Lonchura striata: one gene and its partners. The protein of the gene in region 3 purifies or fractionates together with the protein of the main gene of each other region. This does not show direct contact. Links are inferred from orthologs where the notes say so. Each region holds a gene or a part of one and is shown on either strand. Other genes may lie near its edges.

Region 1 (9,980 bases), on a different chromosome or scaffold from region 3:
CCGCGGGGAAGGTGAGGGGGATCCCGGGGATCCTGAGGGATCCGGGGGGATCCAGGGGGGATCCCGGGGATCCGGGGGGATCCAGAGGGATCTGGGGGATCCGGAGGGATCTGGGGGATCCGGAGGGATTTTGGGGGGGATCGGGGGGGATCCAGGGGATCCGGGGGGATCCAGAGGGATCTGGGGGGATCCGGAGGGATCTGGGGGGATCTGGGGGGGGATCCTGGGGGGATCTCGGGGATCTGGATGGATTGGGGGGATCCGGAGGGATCTGGGGGGAATCCGGAGGGATCTGGGGGGGATTAAGGCAGGGGTCCAGTGGGGGATCCTGGGGGGATCCTGGGGGATCTGGGGGAGTCCAGAGGGATCTGGGGGGAATCCTGGGGGGATTTGGGGGGATCTGGGGGTAACTGGGGGGATCCAGGGGGATTTTGGGCAACTTGGAGGGGATTTGGGGAGTCCAGAGGGATCTGGGGGGATCCAGAGGGATCTGGGGGGGATTAAGGCGGGGGTCCAGTGGGGGATCCTGGGGGATCTGGGGGAGTCCAGAGGGATCTGGGGGGAATCCCGGGGGGATCTGGGGGGATCCTGAGGGATTTGGGGGGGATCCGGGGGGATCGGGGAGGTCCAAGGGGAATTTGGGGGTAACTGGGGGGATCCAGGAGGATTTTGGGGGACTTGGAGGGGATTTGGGGGGATCCTGAGGGATCGGGGGGGATCCAGGAGGATTTGGGGGGGGGTGGGGGGGTGGTGGTGTCCAGAGGGATCCTGGGGGATCTGGAATCCAGGGCGGGATCTGGGATCCACTTGGGGATCGGCATGGGGGGATCCTGGGCGGGATTTGGGATCCGGGGCAGGATCAGGAGTCAGGACCCAGGGTGGAATCAGGCTCAGGGATCCAGGGCGGGATCTGGGATCCACTCAGGGATGGGCCATGTGGGATCTGGGGCAGGATCTGGAATCCAGGGCGGGATCTGGGATCCACTTGGGGATCAGCCAGGCGGGATCCTGGGTGGGATTTGGGATCTGGGGCAGGATCAGGAGTTGGGATCCAGAGCGGGATCAGGCTCAGGGACCCAGGGCGGGATCTGGGACCCACTGGGGGATCCGGGATCCACCCTGGACCGACTGGGGGATCCGGGATCCACCCTGCACCCACTGGGGGATCCGGGATCCACCCTGCACCCACTGGGGGATCCGGGATCCACCCTGCACCCGCGTCCCCGCAGCCCTCGGGGGTGTTCAGCCGCCTGGGCGCGGCACCGGGGGACTCGCCGGGGGATCCGCCGGGGGATCGGCCGGGGGATCCGGCGGATCCCGAGGCGCTGCCGTACGCCGGCGTGCTGAAGCGGCGCCGCGAGGGCGCCGGGCCGGCGGCGCAGGACGGCGCCGTGTCCAGCAGCAGCTCCGGTGGCGTCTTCCGCAGGCTGGGCCGCCCGCCCCGCTGAGAGCCCGTCCCGGGGATCCACCGGGATCCACCGGGATCCACCGGGATCCACCGGCAACAAGAACTGGGGTCCCTGCGAGAGGGGATCCTGCTGGATCCGCTGGGATCCACTGGCAACAAGAACTGGGGTCCCTGCGAGAGGGGATCCCACTGGATCTTCCGGGATCCCCTTGGAATCAGCAGGAATTGGCCGGGATCTGCCAGGATCCAATGGGCGAGAGCCGGTCCCGGGGATCCACCGGGATCCACTGGCAACAAGAACTGGGGTCCCTGGCAGTGGGGATCCTGCCGGATCCACTGGGATCCCCTTGGAATCAGCGGGAATGGGCTGGGATCTGCCAGGATCTGATGGGAGCGACGGCGAGAGCGGATCCACTGGGATCCACCGGGATCCACCGGGACTGGCAACAAGAACTGGGGTCCCTGCGAGAGGGGATCCCGCTGGATCCACCGGGATCTGCCGGGATCCACTGGCAACAAGAACTGGGGTCCCTGCGAGAGGGGATCCTGCTGGATCTGCGGGGATCCCCTTGGAATCAGCGGGAATTGGCTGGGATCTGCTGGAATCTGATGGGAGCAACGGCGAGAGCGGATCCACTGGGATCCACCGGGATCCACCGGGACTGGCAACAAGAACTGGGGGCCCTGCGAGGGGGGATCCTGCTGGGATCCCGCCGGGATCAGCCGGGATCTGGCGGGACGGGTGGCGAGATCGGGGATCCTTGTGAGTGGGGATCTGGCCGGATCCACCGGGATCCCCCTGGAATCCGCCGGGACCGGCACCAGGAGCGGGGATCTGTGTGTGTGAGTGGGGATCCAGCTGGGATCGACCCCGGGGGATCCCTCGGGATTGAGCGGGAATAGAGGGGATCCCCTGGGGAAAAAAGGGGGGGATCCAGCTGGAATCGAGGGGGATCCAGCCGGAATCGAGGGGGGATCCCCTGGGAATCGAGGAGGATCCAGCCGGAATCTAGGGGGATCCAGCCGGAATCGAGGGGGGATCCAGTCGGAATCGAGGGGGATCCCCTGGGGAAAAAAGGGGGGATCCAGCTGGAATCGAGGGGGGATCCAGCCAGAATCGAGGGGATCCCCTGGGAATTGAGATGATCCCCTGGGAATCGAGGGGGATCCAGCCGGAATCAAGGGAGGATCCAGCCGGAATCGAGGGGGGATCCAGCCGGAATCGAGGGGATCCCCTGGGAATCGAGGGGGATCCAGCCGGAATCGAGGGGATCCCCTGGGAATCGAGGGGGATCCAGCCGGAATCGAGGGGATCCCCTGGGAATCGAGGGGGATCCAGCCGGAATTGAGAGGATCCCCTGGGAATCGAGGGGGGATCCAGCCGGAATCGAGGGGATCCCCTGGGAATCGAGGGGGATCCAGCCGGAATCGAGGGGGGATCCAGCCGGAATCGAGGGGGGATCCAGCCGGAATCGAGGGGATCCCCTGGGAATTCCCCCCGGAACCGAGGCTGGATCCCGTGCGGATCCCGTGGGAACCCCCGGGTGGATCCCCCCAGCAGATCCCGAGGCCAAAGCAGCCCCAAAATCTCCTTTTTTCCCCCCAAATTCCCGGATCCTTTCCCGGGATTCGGGAGCCCAGGCCCCCAAATCCCAGCCGGGGCCGGATTTGTATTCCCAAGTTTTGGGGTTTTATTCCCAAATTTTCTGGGGTTTTATTCCCAATTTTGGGGTTTTATTCCCAATTTTGGGGTTTTATTCCCAATTTTGGGGTTTTAGTCCAAATTTTTTGGGTTTTAGTCAAAATTTCTGGATTTTTATTCCAAATTTCTGGATTTTTATTCCCAATTTCTGGATTTTTATTCCAAATTTCTGGGGTTTTATTCCCAATTTTGGGGTTTTATTCCCATTTTCTGGATTTTTATTCCCAATTTTTTGGGTTTTATTCCCAAAATTTCTGGATTTTTATTCCCAATTTCTGGGGTTTTATTCCCAATTTCTGTAGTTTTATTCCCAATTTCTGGATTTTTATACCAAATTTCTGGATTTTTATTCCAAATTTCTGGATTTTTAGTCCAAATTTTTTGGGTTTTATTCCCAAAATTTCTGGGGTTTTATTCCCAATTTCTGGATTTTTATTCCAAATTTCTGGGGTTTTATTCCCAAATTTTCTGGGGTTTTATTCCAAATTTTGGGGTTTTAGTCCAAATTTTTTGGGTTTTAGTCAAAATTTCTGGATTTTTATTCCAAATTTCTGGATTTTTATTCCCAATTTCTGGATTTTTATTCCAAATTTCTGGGGTTTTATTCCCAATTTTGGGGTTTTATTCCCAATTTCTGGATTTTTAGTCCAAATTTTTTGGGTTTTATTCCCAAAATTTCTGGGGTTTTATTCCCAATTTCTGGATTTTTATTCCAAATTTCTGGGGTTTTATTCCAAATTTCTGGGGTTTTATTCCCAATATCTGTAGTTTTATTCCCAATTTCTGGATTTTTATTCCTAATTTCTGGGGTTTTATTCCCAATATCTGTAGTTTTATTCCCAATTTCTGGATTTTTATTCCCAATTTCTGGATTTTTATTCCAAATTTCTGGGGTTTTATTCCCAATTTCTGGATTTTTATTCCAAATTTCTGGGGTTTTATTCCCAATTTCTGGGGGTTTATTCCCAATTTCTGGGGTTTTATTCCCGATTTCTGGATTTTTATTCCCAATTTTCTGGGGTTTTATTCCCAATTTTCTGGGGTTTGATTCCCAATATTTGGGGGGTTTTATTCCCACTTTCTGGATTTTTTTTCCCATTTTCTTGGATTTTTATTCCCATTTCCCCCCAAAAAATTTTGTTTAAAAAAAAAAAAAAAAAATTAAAATCCCTGAGGGGAATTTTAGGAGCAACTTCCCAAAAAAAACCCCAAATCCTTCCTAAAAAACCCTAAATCTTCAAAAAACCCCAAAATCCACCCAAAAAAAAACCCCAAATCCTCCCCAAAAACCCCAAATCCCCCCAAACGTCCCAAAATCGCTTCAATTTGTGGATTTTGGCCCCAGGGCTTCCCAGAAATTCCAAAATTCTTCATTTCCCCCAAATTCCCTCTGGCCACAAACCCCAAAATTGGGATTTTGGCCCCAAAATTGGCCATTTTTGTTCTTCCCCAAAATCAGTTTTTTTTTCTTCCCCAGAATTGGGGTTTTCCCCCAAAATTTGGGTTTTTTACCCCAAAATTGAGGGTTTTTTACCCCAAAATTGAGGCTTTTTTTCCCCCAAAATTGAGGTATTTTTCCTCAAAATTGAGGTTTTTTTACCCCAAAATTGAGGCTTTTTTTCCCCCAAAATTGAGGTATTTTTCCTCAAAATCGAGGTTTTTGTATTCCCTAAAATTGGGGTATTTTTCCCCAAAATTGGGTTTTTTCCCCCCAAAAAGAATTCGGGGCAGGGGACACCGAGCTGGGGGATTTTTTAATCAGGAAAAAAATGAAATTTGGGATTTTTCCGATCCAATTTGTGCCTTTAACCCGAATTTGGGATTTTTTTCCCCCAAATTTGGGATTTTCCTCCACCAATTTGCGCCTTTTCCCCCAAATTTGGGATTTTTACTTGGTTTTTTTTCCCCAAATTTGGGATTTTTTTCTCCTTCAATTTGGGTTTTTCTCCTCCAATTTGGGACTTTTGTGGTTTTTTTCCCCAAATTTGGGATTTTTTTCTCCTTCAATTTGGGTTTTTCCCCCAAATTTGGGATTTTCCGCTCCGCTTTGTGTTTTCCCCTCAAATTTGGGACTTTTATTTGTGTTTTTTCCCCAAATTTGAGATTTTTTTCCCCCAAATTTGGGATTTTTTTCCCCAAATTTGGGATTTTTTTTTCCCTCCGATTTGTGCCTTTCCGCCCAAATTTGGGACTTAAATATTATTTGTGTTTTTCCCCAAATTTGGGATTTTCTCCCCAAATCCCGGCTGGTTTTTTGCCGGCGCTTCGGGTGAATTCTCGCGGGAGCTTTTTTGGCAATAAAAGCGTGAAATGCAAATAAAATTAATTTATGCAGATTTATGCAAATGAGTTTCATTAACGGATAGGTGTGGGAGGCCACGCCCCTCTCTCACCCCGCCCTCGGTGACGTCACAGCCGCAAATCCAAAAAAAATCCCCCAAATTTTGGTCGCCCCTCCCCCAAAAATCCCAAAAAAAACCCCCAAAAAATCCCCAAAAACCCAAAAAAATCCAAAAAACCCCAAAAATCCCCAAAATTTTTGGCCGTTCTCCCCAAAGTCCTCAAAAATTTTTTTAAAAATCCAAAAAATCACCAAAATTCCCCAAATTTTTTTGTCGCCCCTCCCCCGATGTCTCCAAATGCCCCCAAAAATCCCCGAAAATTCCCCAAAAATCCCAAAAAATCTCCAAAAAAACCCCAAAATCCGCAAATTTCTTCTCATCCCCCACCCCGACAATGTCTCCAAAAATCCAAAATTTTAATCGCGCTTCCCCCAATGTCCCCAAAGACCCGAAAATTCCCCAAAATTCCCCAAAAATCCCCAAAAAACCCCCAAAATCCCCAAATTTTTCCTCTCTGCCCCCACCAGCCTCCCCCGATCCATCGCTCGGCGCTCGATTGCTCCTCCCCGGCAGCGCTCTCCCCCCCCCCCGTGAGTGGCAGCTGCGGCAGCCAATGGGAGAGCGAGGCGGGATCAGCGCTGACCAATGGGAATGCGCGGGGCCGGCGGGGGGCGGGGCCTCGGCGGCGGCGCGAGGCAGCGGCGCGAGCCATGAAGTGAGGGGGGATTTTGGGGGAATTTGGGGGATTTTGGGGAATTTTGGGGAATTTTGGGGATTTTTGGGGAGTTTTGGATTTTTTGGGGGGAATCCGAAGGGATTTGGGGCGATCTGAGGGAGATTTTGGGGGTTTGGGGTGAAATTTTGGGAGTTTTGGGGTGAATTTCGGGGGGATTTTTTTGGGAAATTGGGGGGGAATTTTCGGGATTTTGGGAAATTTTGGGGCGGTTTGGGGGAGACTTTGAGGGAATTCGATGGGGTTTGGGGGGAATTTGGGGGGGAATTTTGGGGAGATTTTGGGGGATTTGGGAAATTTGAGGGGAATTTGGAAGGATTTGGGGGAGTTTTGGGGGAATTTTGGGGATTTGAGGGAATTTTGGTGAATTTGGGAGGATTTGGGAGGGTTGGGCAGAATTTTGGGGGAATTTGGGAAATTCGAGGGAATTTTGGGGGGTTCTGGGGGAGTTTGAGGGGTTTGGGGAGTATTTTGGGGCTTTTTGTGGGAATTTTCGGGGGACTTTTGGAGGAATGTTGGGACCTTTTTGGGATTTGGGGGGTTTGGGGAGAATTTGAGGGGATTTGGGTGGAATCTTGGTTTTTTTGGCGGGGATTTGAGGGGATTTTGGAGGATTTGAAGGGATTTGGGGGGAATTTGGGGTTTTGGGAGAGATTTGAGGGGATTTTGGTGAATTTTGAGGGATTTTTGGGGAAATTTTGGGATTTTGGGGGAATTTGGGGGGGATTTTGGTGAATTTTGATGGATTTTTGGGGTTTGGGGAGGAATTTTGGGGTGATTTTGGAGAATTTGAGGGGGGTTGGGGATTTTTGGGGGGATCTGAGGGAATTTTGGGACTTTCGAGCCACCCCTGCCCCCCCCCCGAGGATCTGAGGCTGTTCAAAGGCTCCGGAACTCCCCAGGTCCCCCAAAATCCCCCAAATTCCCTCCAAAATCACCCCAAAATCCCTCGGGATCCACCCCTGGAACCCACTGGATCCCCTGGGATCCCCCAGGCTGAACGAGGACGGGCTCCTGGTGCTGTTCCAAACCCCAAAATTCCCCAAAATCCTCCCAAAATCCCCTCAAAAACCCTTTCAAAACCCCCCAAAATGCCCCAAATCCCCCAAAATCCCTCAGGATCCACTCCTGGAACCCACTGGATCCCGCAGGCTGAACATGGACGGGTTCCTGGTGCTGCTCCAAACCCCAAAATCCTCCCAAAATCCCCCCCAATCCTTCCCAAATCCCCCCAAATCCCCCCCGAAATCCCCTAAATCTCCCCTAAACCCCCCAAAATCCCTCGGGATCCACCCCTGGAACCCACTGGATCCCCCGGGATCCCCCAGGCTGAACGTGAACGGGTTCCTGGTGCTGTTCCAAACCCCAAAATTCCCCAAAATCCCCCCCAATCCTTCCCAAATCCCCCCAAATCCCCTCCAAAATCCCCTAAATCTCCCCTAAACCCCCCAAAATCCCTCGGGATCCACCCCTGGAATCCACTGGATCCCCCGGGATCCCCCAGGCTGAACGTGGACGGGCTCCTGGTGTTGCTCCAAACCCCCAAATCCCCCAAATCCTCTCAAAATCCCCTCAAAAACCCTTTCAAAAACCCCCCAAATCCCCTAAATCTCCCCTAAACCCCCCAAAATCCCTCGGGATCCACTCCTGGAATCCACCGGATCCCGCTGGATCCCGCAGGCTGAACGTGGACAGGCTCCTGGTGCTGCTCCAAACCCCAAAATTCCCCAAAATCCCCTCAAAAATCCCCTCAAAAACCCCCAAATCCTCCGAAATCCCTCGGGATCCACCCCTGGAACCCACTGGATCCCCCGGGATCCCCCAGGCTGAACGAGGACGGGCTCCTGGTGCTGTTCCAAACCCCAAAATCCTCCCAAAATCCTCCCAAATCCCCCCCAATCCTTCCCAAATCCCCTCCAAAATCCCCTAAATCTCCCCTAAACCCCCCAAATCCCTCGGGATCCACCCCTGGAATCCACCGGATCCCCCGGGATCCCGCAGGCTGAACGTGGACGGGCTCCTGGTGCTGTTCCCCTACGAGTTCATCTACCCCGAGCAGTTCTCCTACATGCTGGAGCTGAAGCGCACGCTGGACGCCAAGGTGGGATCCACCCCGGGATTCACCGAGGGGATCCACCCCGGGGATCCGCCCCGGGGATCCACCCCGGGGATCCACCCCGGGGATCCACCCCCGGCTGGGATTTGGGGGCCCGGGCTGCCGAATCCCGGGAAAGGATCCGGGAAATTGGGGGGGAAAAAGGAGATTTTGGGGCTGTTTTGGCCTCGGGATCTGCGGGGGGGATCCACCCGCGGGATCCACCCGGACCCGGGGGATCGGGCGGGATCCGCCCCCCCTGAGCGCCCCTCCCCTCCCCCCCCAGGGCCACGGGGTGCTGGAGATGCCGTCGGGCACCGGGAAAACGATCGCGCTGCTCGCCCTCATCGTCGCCTACCAGCGGGTGCGGATCCGCCGGATCCCGCCGGATCCGGGGGGATCTGGGGGATCTGGAGGGGATTTGGGGGATTTGGGGGGATCTGGAGGGGTTTTGGGGGGGATCTGGAGGGGTTTTGGGGGGATCTGGAGAGGTTTGGGTGAGTTTTGGGGGGATCTGGAGGGATCTGGAGGGGTTTTGGGGGGATCTGGGGGGATCTGGAGGGGTTTTGGGGGATTTGGGGGGATCTGGAGGGGTTTTGGGGGATTTGGGGGGATCTGGAGGGGTTTTGGGGGATTTGGGGGGGTTTTGGGGGGATCTGGGGGGGTTTCGGGGGGATCTGGGGGGGATTTGGGGGGATCTGGAGAGGTTTGGGTGAGTTTTGGGGGGATCTGGAGGGATCTGGGGGGATCTGGAGGGGTTTTGGCAGGTCTGAAGGATTCTGGGGGGATCTGGGCTGATTTTGGGGGGGATCTGGGGGGGATCTGAGACGATCGGGGGGGATCTGGGGGGATCTGGAGGGGTTTGGGGGGGGGTCTGAGGGATCCTGGGGGATCTCGGAGGGATTTTGGGGAGTCTGGGGGGATCTGGAGGGGTTTTGGGGGGATCTGGGGGGGATTTGGGGGGATCTGGGGGAGATTTGGGGGGATCTGGGTGTGGGGTTGGGGGGGGTCTGAGGGATCCTGGGGGATCTCGGAGGGATTTTGGGGAGTCTGGGGGGATCTGGGGGGGATTTGGGGGGGATCTGGGGGGGTTTGGGGGGATCTGGGTGTGGGGTTTGGGGGAGTCTGAGGGATCCTGGGGGATCTGGGGGGGTTTGGGGGGGATCTGGGTGGGTTTGGGGGGGATCTGGAGGGGTTTTGGCAGGTCTGAAGGATTCTGGGGGGATCTGGGCTGATTTTGGGGGGGATCTGGGGGGGATCGGAGACGATCTGGAGGGGTTTGGGGGGGGGTCTGAGGGATCCTGGGGGATCTCGGAGGGATCTGGGGGGGTTTCAGGGGGATCTGGGGGGGATTTGGGGGGATCTGGAGAGTTTTGGGGGGATCTGGGGGGGTTTGGGGGGGGTCTGAGGGATCCTGGGGGATCTCGGAGGGATCTGGGGGGGTTTCAGGGGGATCTGGGGGGGATTTGGGGGGATCTGGAGAGTTTTGGGGGGATCTGGAAGGATCTGGAGGGATCTGGGGGGTTTTGGGGGGATCTGGGGGGGTTGGGGGGGATCTGGGTGAGTTTGGGGGGGATCTGGAGGGGTTTTGCCAGGTCTGAAGGATTCTGGGGGGATCTGGGCTGATTTTGGGGGGGATCCGAGACGATCGGGGGGGATCTGGGAGGCTCCTGGTGGATCCCAGAGGCTCCGGATGGCTC
Region 2 (9,820 bases), on a different chromosome or scaffold from region 3:
ACTGAAAAGTGCCCTGCAGCATGCTGCCTGCCACAGCATCTCTCCTCTGTCCTGGGAGAGCATCAAGAGCTGCTCCAGCCTTGCTCTTTCCCAGAGAGCTCCCACATCTAGGGAGGGCAAAGCACTGCTTAAGCCCCACGCTGTGAGCAGACAACATCCTGCCTGCTGCAACGTGTCATCCAGTGCTGAAGCTCATCCTGGATGAGCACACTTGTCCTTCTCACTATGCCTCCTTGTGGGAATGTCCCCTGCAAGGCCCTTACCCAATGTATAACTTGCATAAGGCTTTTCTTACCCCAGGGCTTCCACAAGCTGCAGCACTGTCCACCTTCCATCTTTCACCCCTGGAGAAAGGAGGTAAAGAGAGTGAACCAGAGATCATGTTACTGGAGATGGATGCTGGGACATATCCCTGCACTGCACTGAGAATGGTCAGTCAGTGCTGACTCCTCACTAAAGTGCCAAAGCAGCCATGTGCACTTAACTGCTGGAGCTGCCTCCAGCCCTGCCTGCAAACACCTCTGAGACTGAGAGCTGAGAGGAGATGGCCAGGGGAGAAACGGCCTGCACTTTGCCTCACCCTCTCCCTGAAGCATGGCTGTATGTGTGGCTCCTAAGAGAAGTCTTGCTGAGTTCCACCTCTCTGAGATACTAAAACCCCCTTCTCTAATGTAAGCATGCTGAGAGGAGACAGAGGGCAGCTCTCCAGGTGCTTCCTGAGGGAGAACTGGCTGAACAAGCAGCCCAGACACTAGTGATCACTCAGCTTCCCACCTTGGCTCCAGCACCTCCACACTGTGCAAAACTGCGCTAACCTCTTCCAAGATGGGCAGGGAGAAAGGCAGTTTTGTGGTCAGAGGAAGATAAAATGCTGGGATTCCTGGTGTCTATTTCCAACTCTGACTCAGATTCCTTGCCAGGTTGCCTCATTCACCTACTACCTCCATATTCTTGCAACTCAACTGGGGGAAGAGTCACTCCTCAGGAGGCTTTGCTAAGGACTTGCTGCACTGTACAAGAACCTTGGCAGAACGGCAGGTTCTCCACTCCTGCCACCCATTGCCACTGTGGCACCTCCCCAGAAGGAAAGCTCTGTGTACATCCTCTGCTCAGACATAGGGTGGCAGGCAAGGAACTGCCTTACTTTCAGACCCCTAACCTGCAGCTCAGGTGTCAAGTGACATTGCTGGAAAACAAGCAGCACCCCTCACTTTCTGCCTGGACAAAACAGCATTCCTCCAGAAAAAAACCCAAATCACCTGGCAGTCACTAAGACTCACTGTCTTTGCCCAGGGATACTTTTGGGCACTCTGGAGGGACCTGCTCACCTCTCTGCCCTGCTGAACCTGCACAACTGACAGGGAACTTACCCTCTCAGAAGGTTTCATTATGGGCTTTCCCAGGCCTTGTTCCTGCTAGTGTCTCCTGCTGTTGCAAGCCTTTACTGTCTCTTCCTAAGCAGTTAATTCCACCATTAAGACACACTGTTCATCATAGGGCTGTCTCTAGGGACAAGATGACAGCGTTTTCTGACAGTGTGTTCTGACAGCAGGCAGTCTTGACTCCAGAGACAGAGCTTTCAATTCTGCCTGGAGCAGCAGGGAAAAGGAGCCTGAGCTGAGAAACAGAACAGATAAGGGGAGCTGTGTGGATAAAGAACCCAGCAGGTCTCAGAATTGACGGGCACAGACTGAAAAGGGGGCACCCTCAGAGACAGCCATGACATGCTGGCAAAATTTCCTGCAGAAAAACAACAGTGAAACAGCAAGGAAATGCTTTGCACAAGCCAAAGCAGAGTGGGCTGCAGAGAGAGCTTAGATGGCTCCTCCACATCCAGCATCCCAACATCTTGCTCTGCAAGCTCATGAAGAGCCCTTGTGCCTCTGCACCATCAGAGAAAAAATCTGACACAAATGCCATCTCTGTGGCCAGGTGCTCTGCCTCTCTGTGTCTGCAGAGACTGAAAGCAGCTCTACACAAAGCTTCTGGCTCCCTACTCAACAGAAAGAGCTACCGTGTGATGGCCAAACCACAGTCAGGTACTGATACACCCCGAGGTCAGCAGCTCCTTTGCTCAGCAAGGGAGCTCCCTCTGTTCTCAGGGACCAGGTGTGACCAGCTTTGCCTCACATGGTGTGGCCACCCCTCCCTGACACAGCCTGTGAGTGTGCTGTGCTCGTGCACAGGCCACAGCGTGAGCACAGCTAATTGGACCTGCCTCATCAGCACGGCAGGCACAGTGGTGAGCCCCTGAAACTGCTACCTCCACATCTGGCAGCAGCACATATGCCCCAAGGTTAATTAGGCACCCTGAATCCCTTTACCAAGAGGGGCTGACTTGCTATTCTGGCATTCCTGTAGCTCCCAGAGACTTAACAGAAACAAGCCATTCACCCTGTGCTGGATTGCTACTCTGAACCAACCTGCTCTCTCTCCTGAAAGGTCTCTCCCCCTTTCAGTGTCCTTCTAGGTATTAGTTGCTTCTGGAGGACTTCCATTCTTGTTTCTCCCATACCTTCAAAATGTAAGCACAACATTCACAGGGAATGTGTAATGGATTCTGTAGCAGCAGTATCCTTCTCTCCCCATTTTTTAAGAAAGATGAAATCAGCCTCTTCCTGCCAGCCAGTGACCCATGCAGCCCAACCTGCATGTGACAGCACCAAGGCTTTTCTGCCACTTGCCAAGTTACGCTCATTTTAGTCCTTAGCAACAAACCGGTGAAGCTCAATGTGTTTGTTACAGCAATTGCACAATGGCCATGAGCTTAGGAAAGACCTCCCTATCCTTTTGCTCAAGGATACACAAAGCAATTTAATCCTTTCTGATGTGTGGTTCTGTACAAGGTCAGAAGGGCTCAAGGACACTTGCCAGCCCCACTGTTTGTGAAGGTGGCTTTGTCAAAAGAGCCACATGGCTGAAAAAAGCTGGGAGAAGCAAGTGGGGAGGAATTCTCTTTGTATGTCTTCCAAGAGACAAAGCTTTCTCCAGGCACTTCTGTAACATGACATCAGGTGATAACAACAGTTGTAAGGTTATCCTTCCCCACGTATATCCCAAATATGTTGGAGACTGTGTAACTCTTCTGCAACATGTTGAATATCATGTAGTTTAATGAATTTCTACAAATTTCCTTGGCAATTTCTTCACTCTGTGTTACATGGGCCACTGGGTTACCTTTCTGTTTTGCCAGCTCATCTCATCACCAAGACACCACATAGCAGTTCACAAACCACCATGCCTTGGGAAAGACCTAGAAGCCACCCGTGTGTGTAATGTAACATACACAGACAGCCCTTCTCGGCTCTCAGAGCTCCTTCCCAAAACATGCTGAAGCCACTGCCTACACACACAAAAATATCACCTTATCCTTAGAAAGTCACAGTCCTGAAGCTGTAACTTCCCTAATGCAACAAAGTCACCCAACTGCTGTTCGAAGGAGGAGGATAAATTATCCGACCAAAGCAAACGCCTCAAGTCCTGCTAGGAAAGGGGGAGAAACCACAGTGAGGGTAGTCTGCAACTGCCACCTCCTACGGTCCCTCAGCAAGGCCATGAGCTATCGTCCCACAGTCATTTCTCTGCCAGCCACACCTGCCTCGCTCCTGGAGCCCCTCACCCACCGCACACCTCCTTGGCAGCTCCGAGCTGCAGGCCCTGCCCTACCCAATCCCACGTGCCCTGCCCCGCACGGCAGCCTCACAACCCGCAGACACGCTCCGTCCCGCGTCCCCACACCCTGCCCGGCCAGCCCAGCCCCACGCTCCCTCACAAACCCCTCCCCACACCGCCACGACCCGCCCGTGCCCACGCCCGCCCCAGGCCCTGCCCGGCTCCGCTGCCGTGCCCACGCCCAGTCCCGCCCCGCCCCCGCGCGGTACCTGCCGCCACCTCCGCGGCACGGCCGTCCTGCTGCCCGGACACGAAGTCCCGGACGGAGGCGGCGAGAGCCTGAGCCTCCGCCCCGGCCCCGGGCCCGGGCCCGGCCGCCGCCATGACACCCGCGCGCAGGGCCGCGCCCCGCCCCCCGCCTGCGCGTGCGCGGGGGCGGTGCCGGCGGTCACGTGCGCCCGGGGGCGGGGCGGCCCCGCGCGCACAGCGGGCCCCGCGCGCACGGGCGGGCGCAGCGCGGAGCCGGCGCGGCCCCGATGCCGAGCGCCGCCGGTCGGCCCCGCCATGGGCGGCTGCGTGGGGCGGCAGCGCCGGGAGCGGCCCGCCGCCGGCGGCAACACCCGCAAGCGAGCAGGTGAGCGGGGGTCCTGCGGGCTGGGCGCCCCCGCGATCGCGGGCACTGGGGCGGAGGGGGGTCCGGTGTCCCCCTGGGGGTGGTGCCGGGGGAACGTGGGCACCGGAGAGGTGCAGCTCGCCACGGGACAACTTCTCCCTCGCACAACCCCGGGAGCCGCTCTGTGCCCTCGGGGTTTCGGACCCCGGGGATCCCGGTTCGGTGCGGGGCCTCGGGAGCGGACGGGAACCGCGGCTCCCGTCCCGGCGCCCCGGAGGCTTTGCGGGGTCAGGGCTGGGGTGCGCAGCGGGTCCAGCCGAGCCCTGCCTGTTCCCGGCTCCTCCCGGGAAGTGCCGTCCTGGGAGGACGGCAGGGTGGCGGCTGCCCCGGTCTGGGCTCGGCAGCGTCCCCCGCGCGGCGCGGCGGGTCCTGCCTGCCCGCGGTCCGTGCTGTCCCGTTCTCCCGGCTGCTGCCGGCGGGGGCTTCGGGAGCCGCGGGTGGGGCGGGGAGCGGCCGCGCCGGTCTGGGAGCGCCGGCGGGGCCGGTGCAGCCTCGCGGCCCCCGGAGTTACCGAACACCCGGGTGCCGTGAGGCGCTTCCCCGTGATGCCGTGCCGGAGGGTCCCGGAGGCCGCGGGGATGGGTACGGTGGACTTTCGGCGGAGAAGCCGTGGGCTGGTAGGATGAATCACGCCTTTCCTTTGCCGCCTCCCCGGCCGGTGCCGTCGCAGCCGGTAATTACCGTGTTTATGGCAGAGCGGTAGTGGGCGGCGGAGAGGAGGGGCAGGAAGCGTGTGCCCGGGACGGGACGCCCCGGCCCTCGCCTGCAGCTGGCATGCGGGAGGGAAGGGCGTTTTCCGTGGGACGCTGCCCGCCACTCCGGCAGCACGTGCAGGGTGCCGAGGCTGCTGGGCCGGGCTGTGCCCGTGCCGTGGGCAGCCGCCCCCGCCGCGTGGGGCTCCAGGTGTGCCAGCCTGCCCCGGGGATGCCCTGCTGGGATGTACTGGGGTGATGGCCCCCCCCACCCCGACACGCTTTGTCCCCCAGCAGTGCCTTCTTGCGGGTATGGGTGAGGCCTGGGGCTCCTGGCTGGCTGTTCCCTCAGCTTGGTGGAATGTGGGGCCATTGCCTTGTAGCATCAGGATGTGATGGGGGATGGGGTGAGATCCCAACATCTGGATCTGTGTGATCCCCTCTCGTGCCAGGCAACAGCTGGCTGCAGAGCCTGTGACTCCATCCCCACTTGCTCTCCTGGGATGGGTCGTGGTCCCTCCCTGATATACCGCTGTCAGTCACTGCTGCTGCTTTCTTCCAGTATGTCCCTTCCTGGCAGAGCAAGGCTGTCCCTTGTGCCAGGTGCCCTGGCTGCTTCCTACCTTTGTTTGCATGGTTCCACCAGCCCATGGGAGCTGCTCAGCAAGTGGTGGGGGTGAAGCAAGGCTACAGCTGCTCTTACCAGCAGTATGGGGACAGTGCCCTGGGCCAGCAGGTCCCAGTACACAAGGACCTACCATCAGCAGGGATGGGGGCTCTGCCTGCCCACCTCTGCTGCCTCAAGGACTCTGCTAAGCATCCCACCTCCCTGGCCAGCTCCTGCTCTGGCTGGGGCTTGTTGTGACCCCCTGTGGAGGGGTCCTTTGATGACTCCCAGAAGCAGGTGACAGCATTGTCCCCAGGGTGGCCAGCTTACCACAGCAGGAGCTGGGCATGCCCGTGGCACGCAGCATCCCAACCCTGCCTGACTCGGGAGTGGACCAGCCAGCACTGCTGGAAGCAGTGGTGTGTGCCTTCTGGCTGACATCTTCTCTGGGGCCTCCAGGACCTGTCATCTGAGGCTGCCTAAGGCTCCTGCAGGCAGGGAGCAGGCCCAGGGCAGGGAAGCCTTTGGGTCACATCCTTCTGCCCGGGGGTCCCTCACGAGGGCACTGCAGGGTGCTGAGCCACGGGCAGGGAGCTGCAGGCACAGGGCAGGAGGCAGCAGGCTGCCAGCCAGATCCTGTTGGCTCGAGTCCGGGCACAGAGAGCGGATGGACCTGTCTGGTGGTGCTGCTGTGGAGAGTTGCACAAGGGGCTAGGAATAGAGCAGCAGGAGGTGATTAGAAGGTGCAGGCCCAGCTGGGCGGTAGCAATAAATAGACTAGGCTTAAGCCCCTGCCTACCTGGGCAAGGCTGCTGGTTATGTCTGTACACACGAGGCAGCCACAGCCGGTCCCTGCCACAGCCGACCCCCACAGCTCCTTTCCTGGGCCAGCCTTTGTTGCAAGCAGAGCTGGGGGAATGGTGCTGACTGGCAGTGCTGGCCAGGAGTCCTGGCTGTGGGAACGTGTGCCCCAGCCTGGTGGCCATAGCAGTGTAGGGACATGATCCCAGACATGTCCTTCAGGCTGGCTGTGGACACTTCTCCGCTGCCCTCCTGGGGCAGGTGTTGCCTCTGACCTTGCCATGTCCTGTGGTGCTGCAAATCCCTCTGGCCCAGCACCGTGACTGCTGAATCGGCAGCACTGGCTGCAGTCGGCTGCCCTTGCTCCTCCAGGGTGTGGGCAGGATGGATGCTGCCTGCCAGGGATTCTTGGTGCCCAGCCCTGGGGTAGCTGAGCACCTGTGCCCCTTGGGCACACCCTGAGGTGGGTGCTTGCTGGGAAGCAGATGCTGTGCTGGCTCTAGTGGTCCTGGGTCGGGTGAGGCAGGGTCGGTACAATCAAAAAGGTCACGTAGCGCTCTGTGTCACCGCACACTTGCTCAGGAGCAGCTGCCTGGGCACCTTGGCTCAGCCCACAGCTGGCAGTGGTGGCTGTCTCCGGTGCCTGGGGTGTGTGGCATCACCTTGTCTGGCAGGTCGCTGTGTGGGCACAGGCATCTTTGTGCCCAGCTGGAGCCTCACTTTCCCCTCATCCTGTCCCCACAGGAGGGGTGCTGCCGGGCCAGCTCAGGGAGGGGGGTGACAGGAAGGAGCTGTTATCATTCATTGTCCCCAGCTCAGCTGGGAGTGACAACTCCTTCCTGCCCCACGTGTCCGGCCTGGCTGTGGGACTGATGAGATGGGGCTGTTCCCACAGGGCCACAGCCCAGCGTAGTGAGGGCATGATGCTCTGGGACTGGCACTGGGGTGCCTCAAGCCCCTGGGCAATGCTGGCTGCTGAAGGTCTGTGGGGATGTGGCTAGGAGCTGTTTCATGGAGAGCCAGTTCAGTTCAGCTCGTTGCTGGGGCACCTGCAGTCTGTCAGTGATGCCCTCTGTTCCCCTGATGCCTGGGATGCTGTCTTGCCTGCAGCTGGTCCCTGTCATCCCAGGGTGGGCAGAGGGGACAGTGAAGTCCTGACCCCCCTTTGCTGCAGCTCAGCCTTTGTAATCCCCTTCTCGCTCCGACTCACCAGCTTATTTCCTGGCTAATTCCCCAAGCTATAAATACTGCTCTGCCTCAAAGGGCCCTGAGGCCCTGTGGCCACCCTAGGGGGCAGTGGCTGGTCCCACAAATAAGGAAGCAAGAGCCCTTGTCCCCTCTGGGGGCAAAGGGTGTCACTTGGGGGAACAACTGCTGTGGGGCCAGTGGGATCTTGGGCCAGGCTTGCTTTAGCCCCGTTACCCCTGGCTACACTGGGGGCTGTTGTTCACTGGACAGGGTGATCCCTCAGACCCTTGCTGGGGTGCGGGAGATTCCCAGGAAGAACCTGTGGTTATGGGGAGGTGGGAGGTTCAGGACCTGAGGGAAAACCCTGTCCTTTGGCTGAATATCCCCCCTCTGCAGGGCGCAATGAGCCCCTGAAGAAGGAGTGTCCCAAGTGGAAGAGTGACTACCCCATGACAGACGGGCAGCTGCGCAGCAAGCGGGACGAGTTCTGGGACACGGCACCAGCCTTTGAAGGCCGCAAGGAGATCTGGGATGCCCTGAAGGCAGCTGCCTATGCTGTAGAAGCCAATGACCACAGCCTGGCCCAGGCCATCCTCGATGGAGCCAGCATCACCCTGCCCCATGGTGAGGGTCAGCACTGGGGGTTTGCATGGGATGTGTGCTGAGTGCCCCGTATCTGGGCACATGGGGGTCTCAGGCTGGAGTAGAAAGGGGCTCCCACCTGCTATCCAGAGCTCAGTCCAGCCAGGGGGAGTAAGGCAGGCTGTGCCATACTGCTTGAGGTGGCCCTGTCCCCATTTGAGTGGTCCATGGGGATGCCCACCCTTAGCATCTTATCCTGCTGTCCCCAGGGTCCCTGACGGAGTGCTATGATGAGCTGGGCAACCGGTACCAGCTGCCCGTCTACTGCCTTGCACCCCCCGTCAACCTGATCCTGGAGCGGAGCGAGGAGGAGGCGGTGGAGCCGGCGGAGCCTCTGCCCAATGCCCGGCGGGAGTTCACCCTCAAGGTGCGCCTCTCCACCGGCAAGGACCTGCGGCTCAGCGCCAGCATGAGTGACACCATCGGGCAGCTGAAGAAGCAGCTGCAGGCGCAGGAGGGCATTGACCTGGCCTGGCAGCGATGGTTCTTCTCAGGCAAGCTGCTCACTGACCGCACGCGACTGCAGGAGACCAAGATCCAGAAGGATTTTGTTGTGCAAGTGATTGTCAACCAGCCCCTTCCACCCAGGAACTGAGCCACCCCCTACTGGTTGAGGGGAGAGGGCAGGGGGCTGAGGACAGTGGCACCTCTGGGGATTCCCTGTGTTGTGTTCTGGCCCATCTGGAGCTGCACCTTCTCCCCCCTGAGGCTGCCACACAGGTGACCCCCCAGGAAAGTCTGCATGGGGCTGTGCCACCGTGGTGGCTCCCCTTGGCTGGGGACACGGGCAGGCGCCGTGTTTGCTGAAGGAGGTTTGAGACCAAATGTCTCTGGGGCTGGGGCTCCTCTGCCAGGCAGTGCCGGCAGCGAGAGGCTGTGACCCACTGGGCTCTGGCTTCCCCCTGGCCAGGAGACTCGTGGGGTGCTGGGCTGGGTGGAGATGTCTCCCCTCTGTACATAGTCTATATTTATCAATAAAGCCTTTTCATCCTTCCTCTGGCCTTGGAGACAGGCTGGAGGGGGCTGGCCCACAGCCACAGGAGGTCCCTGTGCCTGTTCTGTATCTGCTCCCATGTCAGAATGGGCACAGGGTGGTCAAGGATACCCTGGACACCCTGTCTCTGCTCCCTAGTGCTACCCTGACCCTGTCCTGCCAGAGCTGTTTGCTTGCCAGGATCCTTCCCCTGCATTGTCCCATTGTCATCCCAGCTGCTTCTTAGTGTGGGGTCACCACCTCTGTTTCATGGTGCCTCCCCTCTGGAGCTATATGCTTGTGTCTGCCCTTGTGCTAGCTGGGACTGTCCATGGAGGGGAACAGTCCCAAGAGTACCTTCATGGCCACCATGGCCTGCCCTGGTGAAAACAGTGTCTTTCTGCTGTGGGAGGCTGTCACACCCGTGGGCCAAGGCACCCAAGGATGGCCCTGGGAAGTGCCCAGGAGGGTAACAGTGACGTGTAGCTGTCCGTCCCTCCCCCAGATTTTGTGCTGGTGGATGGTGCCCAGAGCATTAACTGTCCCAGCACAAGGCAGTGTTGGCCTCATCTTATAAGGGGGGAGTTCTCAGGAGGGTTGAACAATGTTCCTGCTGCCGGGAATAGCTGCCG
Region 3 (10,066 bases):
CACCCAAGCGTGGTGCCTGGGAGCTGCCAGCATGCATTACCATGGCTGGAGTTTCATCTGTGGTGCAAATGCTGGCAATGTCAGAACTAATCAGTTCAGTGACTCAATAAGAGGCAGAGCAAAGCTGGGTTGTTCTGTTCCTTGCCCAATATTAATATTACATAAATACTGTCTTTATTTGCAGTTTCATTCATACATCCCAGCCCATTCAAAGGCTGCTGAGCCAAACGAGCAGGCTGAGGCTGCTGCAGAGTTGGCTTTCTGCAGCCCTGTGCAGACAGGGAAGCTCAGCTCTGGACTGGGAAGGTCTGGCTTTGTTCCTCTCCTGCTTTGCTGTGTGACTTTGGACGTCACACTTGGAGCACTCAACTGGACTGCCAGGCTGAGCTTCACACAATGTCCATAAGCTTCACCCTTTTCAAACAGCATCTGAGACCCTCCCAGGGAAAATACTCCTGGAGTGCAAAGCACTGCCATCAAACTGGTGAGCACAACCTATATTTTTAGAAAGTGTATTTCTTATTTTCCAGATAACTGATGGCAAAGAAGGCAACATCGCAATGGATGCATGTACCAAAACACCCAGCAGGATTTCTCAACAGGTTGTTATTTTTCCATGTGGTCCAGGACTAGAGACATCCTTTACAAAAATTCAGATTAATTTTTAATGAGTTTTTCTATTGTCAAGGTCTACCAAAGACAACAGTTTAATGAATGGCGCAGTTCCCAAATAGGAACCAGAAGAATAAGTTGAGTTTTAGCATTAAATCTCAAAGCACTTAGAGCAAAACTTGTCAAACACTGCCAAGACAATCTTTCAGCAGAGCCTGCTGGGCTGCTCATACTGAGAACTGGTAATGACTCCTGTATTGCAGGTGCACAAATAACACCTCTTCAAAGATACTCTATTTCCTACCACAATGAAGCAGTAATTAAAAATAAATCATGTTTTACACAGGTCTAAAGAGCCCTCCACATTTGGCTAATCTAAGGTAAGATAATTAAAATCAGACGTGATTTGGAAGTGTGGACACGTACTGCTAAATGTCCTCCAACTCTGCACACACCAGCTTGTACAACTTGTGATGTCTGAAAGTGAAACTGTATTAACAGTCCGAAACTGTCACAGGAATGTAAAGATTTTACCTAAAAGTTATCTTGGTGTACTTGTGAAATGCAGTGTGCAAAATCCACTTCTAAGATGCAGTTTATAACTTATTTTTAATAGTGAGAAACCAGTTAAAAACAGGTTGAAAAAAATGGTTAATGGAAAACTGTACCTATGCAATTACTCAATACAATTAAAAAGCTCATTTTTATTATATTTTTGTAGCTGTCTGTAAGCTAACTCCCCACACAGTATTTTTTAAAAGAGCAAAGAAGCATTTCCTCAAGAGAATTTAAGTGATTTTATTTTGCTCACAGTTTTATATAATTTGTAACATCACCGCATATATACAAAATTAGTTAAGTAGATCAGAACACCAATGATTTCCTCACCAGGCAATTATGACCGAGCAGACAAACACTGATTCACCACTTCCAGCAGGTGAGAGTTTTCCAAAGCAGCTGCCACACGTTCCTTATCAGCGAGCTGTTTATTAACTGTGCAGGAAAAAGCCCACGAGAAACCAGTCAGGACACTGGGACTCGCTGTGCTCACGCCGAGCCCCACCATCCCAGCTGCAGGGCTGGGGATGCCCAGGGCACCCAGCTGCTGTCTCAGCACGGAGCCTCTCTGGCACAGCAGCTGTGCAGGAGCTGCCTGGGATTCAGCAGCAGGAGCTGCTCCACGGGTGTGACACAAAAAATCCCCGTTTCCTCCCCTGTTCCCAGTGCTCAGGCAAATCAGCAGTGATGTCTGAGAGCACAGGCTGCCTGAGGAGATGTGCACAGAACACTGCAGCACTCCATGTTCTGTTGTGGAACATCCCCCAGAATCTGACGCACAGAAAGTCCCAGGCACTGAGCAGCTGCTCTGCAGCTGTGGGAATCTCTCTCCTCACTAATTTTCAAGATTAAAACAAATATGAAGGCCACACGAGAGAGGACTAAAAGTCTTACCTGCGTGCTCAGAGGCATGTGTTCCTGGTGTTATATGAACATCCAGCTGAAACAGCAGCACAAAAGAAACGGGATGAGTTTGACAAAGCATCGGAACATTAAGTTCAAACTAATACAAATGAAATAGTAACAAAAAGAAGAGAGAAAGGACATTCTTGCCACTATCAATTATTCTATATAACAGAATAAAACAGAAGTGTACAATTGCAGAGCATTCTGCATTTGTACACGGTTAAACCTGCTTCAGACAAGGGTGAGAGCTCCCCTCCTGCTGTGCTGCAGAGCACTGCCTGCAGTGATTGCCCCTGGCCCGTGACAACCCCCAGAACTGCACGCTGGTATTTCACCCACTGCCCTCTCTGCTTCCTGCAGCACCCCTCACACCAAAAATGAAAAAACCTCTAGTTATTTTTCACTGCAAGCTGCTTAGCTTTTCTTTTTTTTTTTTTTACCTTTTAAAACTTTTTTTCCAAACACAACCCCCCTCTTTTGCTTTGACTGCTCACCTTGAACCTGTCGGGCAGAGAGCGGAGCAGCTTGACCTTGATGGAGAGGCCGATGAGGGTGGCCATGCTGCAGTGGGGGATGGTGGGCGTGAACTCCACCGACACCGTGCTCTCAGCATCGTTCACCTGCGGGCACAGCGGCTGGCACCACAGCCCCGAGCCCCGCTCGGGCACCGTCAGTGCTACCTTTACGTGCTACCGTAAATATAGTTCAATACTATAAAACACGAGAAGTCTATTTGAATGTTAGAAATTATTAATCGACAAGTACTATGTTCAATATATTAAATATATTAAAATATTATATTGTAATGTGATCATTAGAATTATAACTATTGTAAATACATTTAAATATTCTATATTTAAATATTATATTGTTAATTTATTATATATTCAAATATTATATTATATCTTATTATATAATAATAGAATATAATACAACACAATAATATAATATAATATAATATAATATAATATAATATAATATAATATAATATAATATAATATAATATAATATAATATAATATAATATAATATAATATAATATAATATATATTATAATATATAATATATATAATATACTATAATACAATATCTAATATATATTATAGTATGTATATGATATTATATTATATATATTGTATCGTATGATAATATAATATTTATAATATAATATTATAGCATATATATGGTATTATAATATAATAGTATATTATATATTATATTATAATATTACAGTATATATATAGTAATATGATATGATATGATATGATATCATATCATATGATATCATATCATATATCATATATCATATATCATATATAATATATCATATATCATATATCATATATCATATATCATATATCATATATCATATATCATATCATATCGGACGGCTGAGGCAGCACATCCCGGCGGGATCTCACTTTCACTCGCGCTTCCTCGACGACGTTGAGCTCCTCCAGGGTGAGCGGGTGCTCGGGGTCATTGATGGAGCGGATGAGATGTGCGGGTTAAGGAAAGCGGCGCTGCCCGCCCCGGCCCGCCCGCCCGCCCGGCCCTGCCCGCCGCTCCCGCAGGATATCGAAGATCTCCCGGTCGTCGATGGCGTCGGGCAGCTCGTCGTCCTCCTCGCGGGCGGTGACGGGGCGCTCCCCGGAGCGGCGGTAGACGAGCGGGTTCGCGTTCTCCAGCGGCGGCGCGCCCGGGCCCACCATGGCGGCAGCGGAACCGCCCGCACCGGAACCGGCCCGGAGCGCGATGGGCTCCGCCCCGCGGGGCCGGCAGCGGGGCGGGGCTGCCGGGCGGCCCGGGCCGGGCGGGGCTGCCGGGCGTCCCCGGAGCTCCGACCGGACCGAGCGCCGGGTTGGAAGCCAATGGAGTCGGCGGCGCGGTGTCCGCCGCTGGAGATACACCGACGCACACAGACACAGAGGCACACACACGCACATACACGCACACACAGACACGCGCACACAGACACAGACACACAGAGACACACACATGCACACACACACAGACACACAGACACATACAGACACAGACACAGAGACACACACATGCACACACACACAGACACACGCACACACACATGCACACATACGCACACACAGACACACACACATGCACACACACACAGACACACGCACACACACATGCACACATACACACGCACACACAGACACACTTCAGTGTCCGCCCAGCTCCGGGCTGGGCCTGGCGCCGCCAAGGATGCTCCCATGCGACTTGTTGAAATGTTCTCTGCTTTGAAAAGTCAAACAAAAGAACCCCACGCAAATTTAAACTGAAGTGGCAGAGTGTAGTAATGACACGCTTTGGCTTCATACACCCCTCTAAAAGGGGATTAAAGCAAGTCTTAACTATTTTGATTTGGTTTGCTTATTTTTCTATTGTTACTTTTTAGTTATTTGCAATCTCTCCTCCCGGTTGTTGGGGCGCGGAGGGCGGATTAGGGGTTTTGTTGCTTTGTTTTGCTTGTCGTGGTGTTTTGGTGATACTTTTGTTGTTTTAAGAGGGTTTTAAAGAACTTCATAGTATTTAAGCTCCGGAGTGCGTTCAGACTCGCCCTCTTTCTCCGCCGCCAGCACGGACAGCCGGTGAATGAGCTGCGATTGCCGCTCCGTGGCGCCCGCCGGGCGGCGCTGGGCACCGCCGGCACCGGGGAGCGCGGGGCGGCGGTCGGGGCCGCGCCGGTGATCGGGGCTGTGAGGGTGATCGATCAGGGGCTGTGCGGGTGATGGGGGGGCCGTGCCGATCATCAGTCAGGGGCCGTGCCGATGATCAGTCAGGGGCCGTGCCGATGATCAGTCAGGGCTGTGCCGATCATCAATCAGGGGCCGTGCCGATGATCAGTCAGGGCTGTGCCGCCCCCGGGTCCGGCACTCCCGTTTGCCTTCGCCCCTCTCGGGGCGTTCCCTGCAGGTTCCGTGCCCCGAGTGCCCTCGCTGGGACCTTTGTCCCCTCCTGTTCCGCAGGAGAGAGTCCCCGGGAGCCCCACCGGGGCTGAAAATGTCTCCTGCGAGCCCGATCGCGTGGCTTTGCGCCTTGTTTTGTAGCGCAGCCTTGTTCCTCGTGTGCGGGACAGAAGGTGAGCCCCGCGACTTGCTGCTGCTGCCGGGGAAACCGCTGCACCAGCTCCCGATGGTTTTTACGAAGGCGGTAAATCTCTTGTGCCTTGGTTACCAATCTGCAAAAATGCCTTCATGATGCAAAAATTACTGGGTTTGAGATGATAAAATGAAAATTAAGTTTTCTGTCCTTTTTAAAAAGTAGAAAGCAGCAACATTTGTGAATTCTCTAAACAAAATATTTTTAAGATCTTGTTGAATGATAGATTTAGCAAATGCCAATGGTTTTGCTGTTTGCTCTGAAATTTGTTCTTGTATAGTGACAATATCCTGCCCTACATGGCTCCAGGTATAAATGGCAGGAGGGTTTGGCAGGGGGTGTCTCTCACTGCACCAAAGCAAAATGAAAACTGAACAAAATTGAAAGGAATAAACTGAAATGTTCTAAATTAAACAGTCAGTTAAAAATACTTAATGGGATAGTCTGTGAGATAATTATGAAGATGCAATTTAATTCATTATTTTTTTATCTATTGTGTTACTTAGGACAGAGTGGTGCTGAGCCAGAGGTGACTATTGCACTTGGACGGCTCAAAGGAACACAGACAAGCGTGAAGGGCACAGACAAGCTTGTAAATGTTTTCCTTGGAATTCCTTTTGCAAAAGCCCCTCTTGGATCCTTGAGGTTTTCTCCACCTGAACCGCCTGAACCCTGGAGTGGTGTGAGAGATGCAACTTCTTACCCACCGCTGTGAGAGCAGTTCTTTTGTAGCCAGAAGCTGCCCGTGCTGCAGAGTTGTGTTTATTGGGGTGCAGAGGCTGCTTCTGCTGAGTTGTTGGTACTTGGTGGTGGATACACTGCCAGTACTGGAGTATTTCTAGTACAGGTGTGGAGATGTGCTTTTACAGGCTGTACCTCTCAGTGATTATAGGTAACACAAAATTCAAGCACCCTGTGGGGATTCAGCTGGGACCAAAAGAAATGTGTTTTCTCTACTGTTGTTACTTTGATGCTATTGTAGGTTTAGTACAAATAATTGTGTTGTTTTTTTTTTTTTCTTCCCTTGGTGAAGCTGTCCTCAAGATCTGTCCCTGTTGAAAATAGCTGAAAAAAACTTTAAAGAAAAGCACCTTGCATTCCAAACTTCTGAGGACTGTTTGTATCTCAGTGTTTACAGCCCCGCTGGCTCAAGCAAGAAGGACAAGTTACCTGTATGTAAACCATTGAACAAACTTGTGATTTATAAAGCTTGCAAGTAATGATTGCTCTTAAGAGAGTTAATTGCTTTGAAAATGTGATGCTGCACAAGCAGAAATAATATTAGCATGTAAAATTCCAAGATCACCAGTCTGAAATTCAGCAGCCATCGTGCTTCAGTGATTTGGTGTTCCTAATTATCTGACGTTGTTTTCCTTTTTCAAGTGAAATCTGCAAACCAGCGCGTTAAGGTGTGTCTCACCCTATTGTTTCCAAGGTAATGGTGTGGATCCATGGAGGCAATTTTATATTTGGTGGTGCTGCTCGGTATGATGGCTCTGCACTGTCAGCCTACGAGAATGTTGTGGTGGTATTAATTCAGTACAGACTGGGACTCCTTGGGTACTTTAAGTAAGAACACTTATTTCACTTTTTACAAAGTACTTGCTGTCACGTTTAAAGCACGGGTAGTTCTGTTTGCTAAATGTGCTGAACTTTTATATCAGCTTCCCACTGTTAGAGTGGTTTAAATGTACAAAATTCACTGACATCAGGACTTCAGAACACCAAGAAATGTCTGTGCATTCCACCTGCATGGCCATGTGATTGCAGCCTGCTTATTTGATGCTGGGCAGGATGTTTGTTCTGGCCTTTGCTTCCATGCTCTGCTGTGTAAAGCAAAGCCTCGGGTGGAGCACAGGCCAGGGGTCTGCCTGAGCCGGGGTGGGCAGGGGCTGAGGTGTGAGCGTGGGGGGCTGGAGGTCCCTTTGCAGCAAACACAGATTGCTGGGGTGGCCTCTGCTGTGCCACTGTCACTGTCACTGCTGCTGAGGAGTGGCTCTGCTGCTTTCCTGTCAGCACTGGTGACGAGCACGCCCGCGGGAACTGGGCGTACCTGGATCAGGTCGCTGCTCTTTGGTGGGTCCGAGGAAATATCGAGCACTTCGGTGGAGACCCAGCATCTGTCACTCTCTTCGGGATATCTGCAGGAGCTTGCTCTGTTTTTGCACATGTAGGTATATAGTAGATAAAAATAAAAGTCTTTGAAAGCTTAATTAATGTAACATTTCATGTTTAATCTGGTTTTTGACCATAAATTTAACAGCGCATTGGGCTAAATCTGGAGATATAGGAAATAAAGATGTATAAATCCCAAGATGTATAATTCCCAACTGAATCCATGAGTTAATAGACTATAGCTAGCATTAAGTTGTAAGGTAAGGATGTTAATGTAGAATAAATACTTTTTGTTCTTCCCTTCTTGGCAGGTGTTATCTCCTTTATCTAAGGGTCTCTTTCATAAAGCAATATCAGAGAGTGGAATTCTAATTCCCCCCAGCAAAAATTTACATCTTTCAACAGATCTTGAGGTAAGCTCATTGTTTTGCATTTAAAGTCTTTATAGCCTAAAATAGGCTTTTCCTATGGGTAGAGGAATACTAAATATCTATCCAGGATATCTAAAGGATACTGAAGTATAAAGGATATATAAGGATATCTAGGGGATACTTCTATGTGATAATTTGTTTAAAAAAGAAAAGGGGAAAATGTCATTGTATATTGTGCAAGAAAGTTGATCCAGTTCATTGTTGCAGCACACCTGTTTAATTTTGGTCTGGTTGGTGTTAGAAATAGATTGGACAACTGTATGATTCTAACAGTTGTGGGCTGACAAAGGCATTTTCAGTCACACAAATGCCAAGCTAGGCAAATGTTCATTTTTATATCCACTGTACTCTACACAGTAACGGTGGCATTTATTATGGAAAGCTTAACAAGAAGAAGAATTCAGTTTTTTATTAATCTACAGCCCTTTAAGGAGGGCCTTTATGTGAAGTAAATTAATTAAATATAAAAAAAACCCAACAAACAAACCAAAAAACAAAACCCAAACTTAAAATAAAATCACTTTCTATAAGTTCCTTTTAATATCTTTTCCTGTCATGCCAGATAGTAATAATGTAAATGTTTCTGAGTTTTCTTTCCTTATCTGGTTTATTCTACAAGCTTGTATTATCTCTACAGAAAAGTTTGAAAAGACAGTGAATGGAAATACAACAAGAAAGAGAAGTACACCGGAATGATTTCACTTTGTGATTGATATGGTTTGACACTGGCACAATGCCAGTGTTTTTATGAAAATGTGATTTTTACTTTGAATGCTGTAAAGTGGAATTTAGAATACAATAAAGTAGGCTTAAATTTGATAATAGGAAAAAAAACTTTATTAAACTACTATTACAAAAGAAAAGAGAAAACTAAAGAAGGGAAAAAAAACTACACAAAGATCTAAATGAAAACTTTGCAAAACATTCCTCCCCCCACCACTTAACTCCAACAAACTACAGTGAGACACAATCTGGACCCCAATCAGGTTTCTACCTTTTAAGCAATTGATATTCAGTCTATTAAGGGAATAGAGTTTTTCCTGTGCTACAGACCTCTCAAGAAACACAGCTTTATATCTTGTGTTTTTATGTTACACATGGCACTGCCTGGAGAAAAAGTTTGCCATGGTGACCTTTCTCCTTTCCATGCACAGTGCTCTTACTATTAATGTATGGATGGTCACTGCCTTTAGGATTTTTCCTTTTAAGGATGCCCTGCCAAGAGGGGAGAAAACAATAGTTTAGTTTTTCATTTTTTTGGGACCAGAGTCCCCCCCATTTTCCCTTGGGGCTGAGGGCTCAAGAACAGAGATCTTCTTCTCTTCTCTTTTTTTTCTAGGGCAAGGGGGCGCTACTACAAACCTCCTAACTTTTTCTTTGTTCACTCTACTTTTGTCTTTTTCTTAGCTGAAGTAGGTTTCTTGACTCACTGGCATCCTCTTAAAACACAGTCCTTCTTGAAGGAGAAGATTTGGTTCAGGTTGTGGCTAACATGGAAAAGTCCAGCTAAAAGCTACTCCTTGTCCCCCTCCTATCTAGAATTCCTCCTTCCAACATCCCATCCCAGGGTCCAAGGTGTCCCTCTTCTTTTTTTTCAAACTGAGGAGGGGAAAGGAAAATTCATAAAGCTTTTATTTCTCAAGGAAGGGTTAAAAGTCCGAAGTCCCAGGACGGCTCGATGCCCAGACATCCAGCAACTCCCACGCGACTGGGCACCTTGCAGCAGCTCCCCCCGCTCCTCCTTCCTTGCGGCTTTCTCTCTCCCTCTCGGGAGAGGAACTCTGAGGGAGGAAATAGAGACATCCCAGATTTCTTCCACCCTTCTATCTGCAGGGGCCAGCCCGGTTCTAGTCTTTTTACCACCCTTGGGGCTTTCGGCCTTACCTTTCTCAGGCCATGGGAGCTTCCCCTCCCCCACCCAGCTCGTGGCTGGGCAGGGGAAAATCTACACTGCACGCTGACTGGAACTAAAAAGAGCAAGTTTCCCTGAAAATTCTGCTTTTAACCCCTCTGTGTTCTCAGAGACGTGTCTACTTTCAATTAGTCAATATCTAAATTGACCTCTTCTTTCCAAGAAAAATTATCTTTCCGTGTCAAACCACGACAGTGATCAAACTGTAGCATTTCTAGTAAAATAAAGTACTCAAAGATCTATCAAGCTCACTTAAATCTGCCACTAACAAACTGTATAATATACAGTATATAGTGCTGTATATTATACTTATAGTGCTGTATACATACTGTATAATGCTGTATAAATCATTATATAGCAGCATGTATAATGATTTTATAACAGTGCTTGACTTTGTTGATAATTTTCAG

The links.
Region 1: the proteins of CIAO2B (region 3) and ERCC2 purify together in Homo sapiens (affinity purification with western blotting; 3 studies listed by BioGRID and IntAct, with this or other methods). This does not show direct contact. The link is inferred for Lonchura striata from reciprocal best matches to the Homo sapiens genes CIAO2B and ERCC2.
Region 2: the proteins of CIAO2B (region 3) and MMS19 purify together in Homo sapiens (affinity purification with western blotting; 11 studies listed by BioGRID and IntAct, counting the BioPlex papers as one, with this or other methods). This does not show direct contact. The link is inferred for Lonchura striata from reciprocal best matches to the Homo sapiens genes CIAO2B and MMS19.

What each region holds. Positions count from the first base shown.
Region 1 is NC_134633.1:6,043,548-6,053,527, reverse strand, and holds the start of ERCC2 (general transcription and DNA repair factor IIH helicase subunit XPD), read left to right. Parts: upstream 1-6,156; 5' UTR 6,157-6,162; coding exon 6,163-6,167; intron 6,168-8,186; coding exon 8,187-8,286; intron 8,287-8,566; coding exon 8,567-8,644; intron 8,645-9,980. UniProt on the Homo sapiens protein: ATP-dependent 5'-3' DNA helicase. Component of the general transcription and DNA repair factor IIH (TFIIH) core complex, not absolutely essential for minimal transcription in vitro.
Region 2 is NC_134609.1:18,893,802-18,903,621, reverse strand, and holds the start of MMS19 (MMS19 nucleotide excision repair protein homolog), read right to left. Parts: upstream 4,018-9,820; 5' UTR 3,997-4,017; coding exon 3,882-3,996; intron 345-3,881; coding exon 296-344; intron 1-295. Other genes in the region: UBTD1 (ubiquitin domain-containing protein 1), read left to right, coding at 4,177-4,246, 7,970-8,197, 8,425-8,810. UniProt on the Homo sapiens protein: Key component of the cytosolic iron-sulfur protein assembly (CIA) complex, a multiprotein complex that mediates the incorporation of iron-sulfur cluster into apoproteins specifically involved in DNA metabolism and genomic integrity.
Region 3 is NC_134615.1:4,217,624-4,227,689, forward strand, and holds CIAO2B (cytosolic iron-sulfur assembly component 2B), read right to left. Parts: upstream 3,834-10,066; 5' UTR 3,788-3,833; coding exon 3,653-3,787; intron 3,575-3,652; coding exon 3,497-3,574; intron 2,697-3,496; coding exon 2,571-2,696; intron 2,111-2,570; coding exon 2,065-2,110; intron 1,606-2,064; coding exon 1,508-1,605; 3' UTR 1,386-1,507; downstream 1-1,385. Other genes in the region: CES2 (cocaine esterase), read left to right, coding at 5,100-5,178, 5,705-5,909, 6,232-6,370, 6,634-6,767, 7,215-7,368, 7,625-7,726.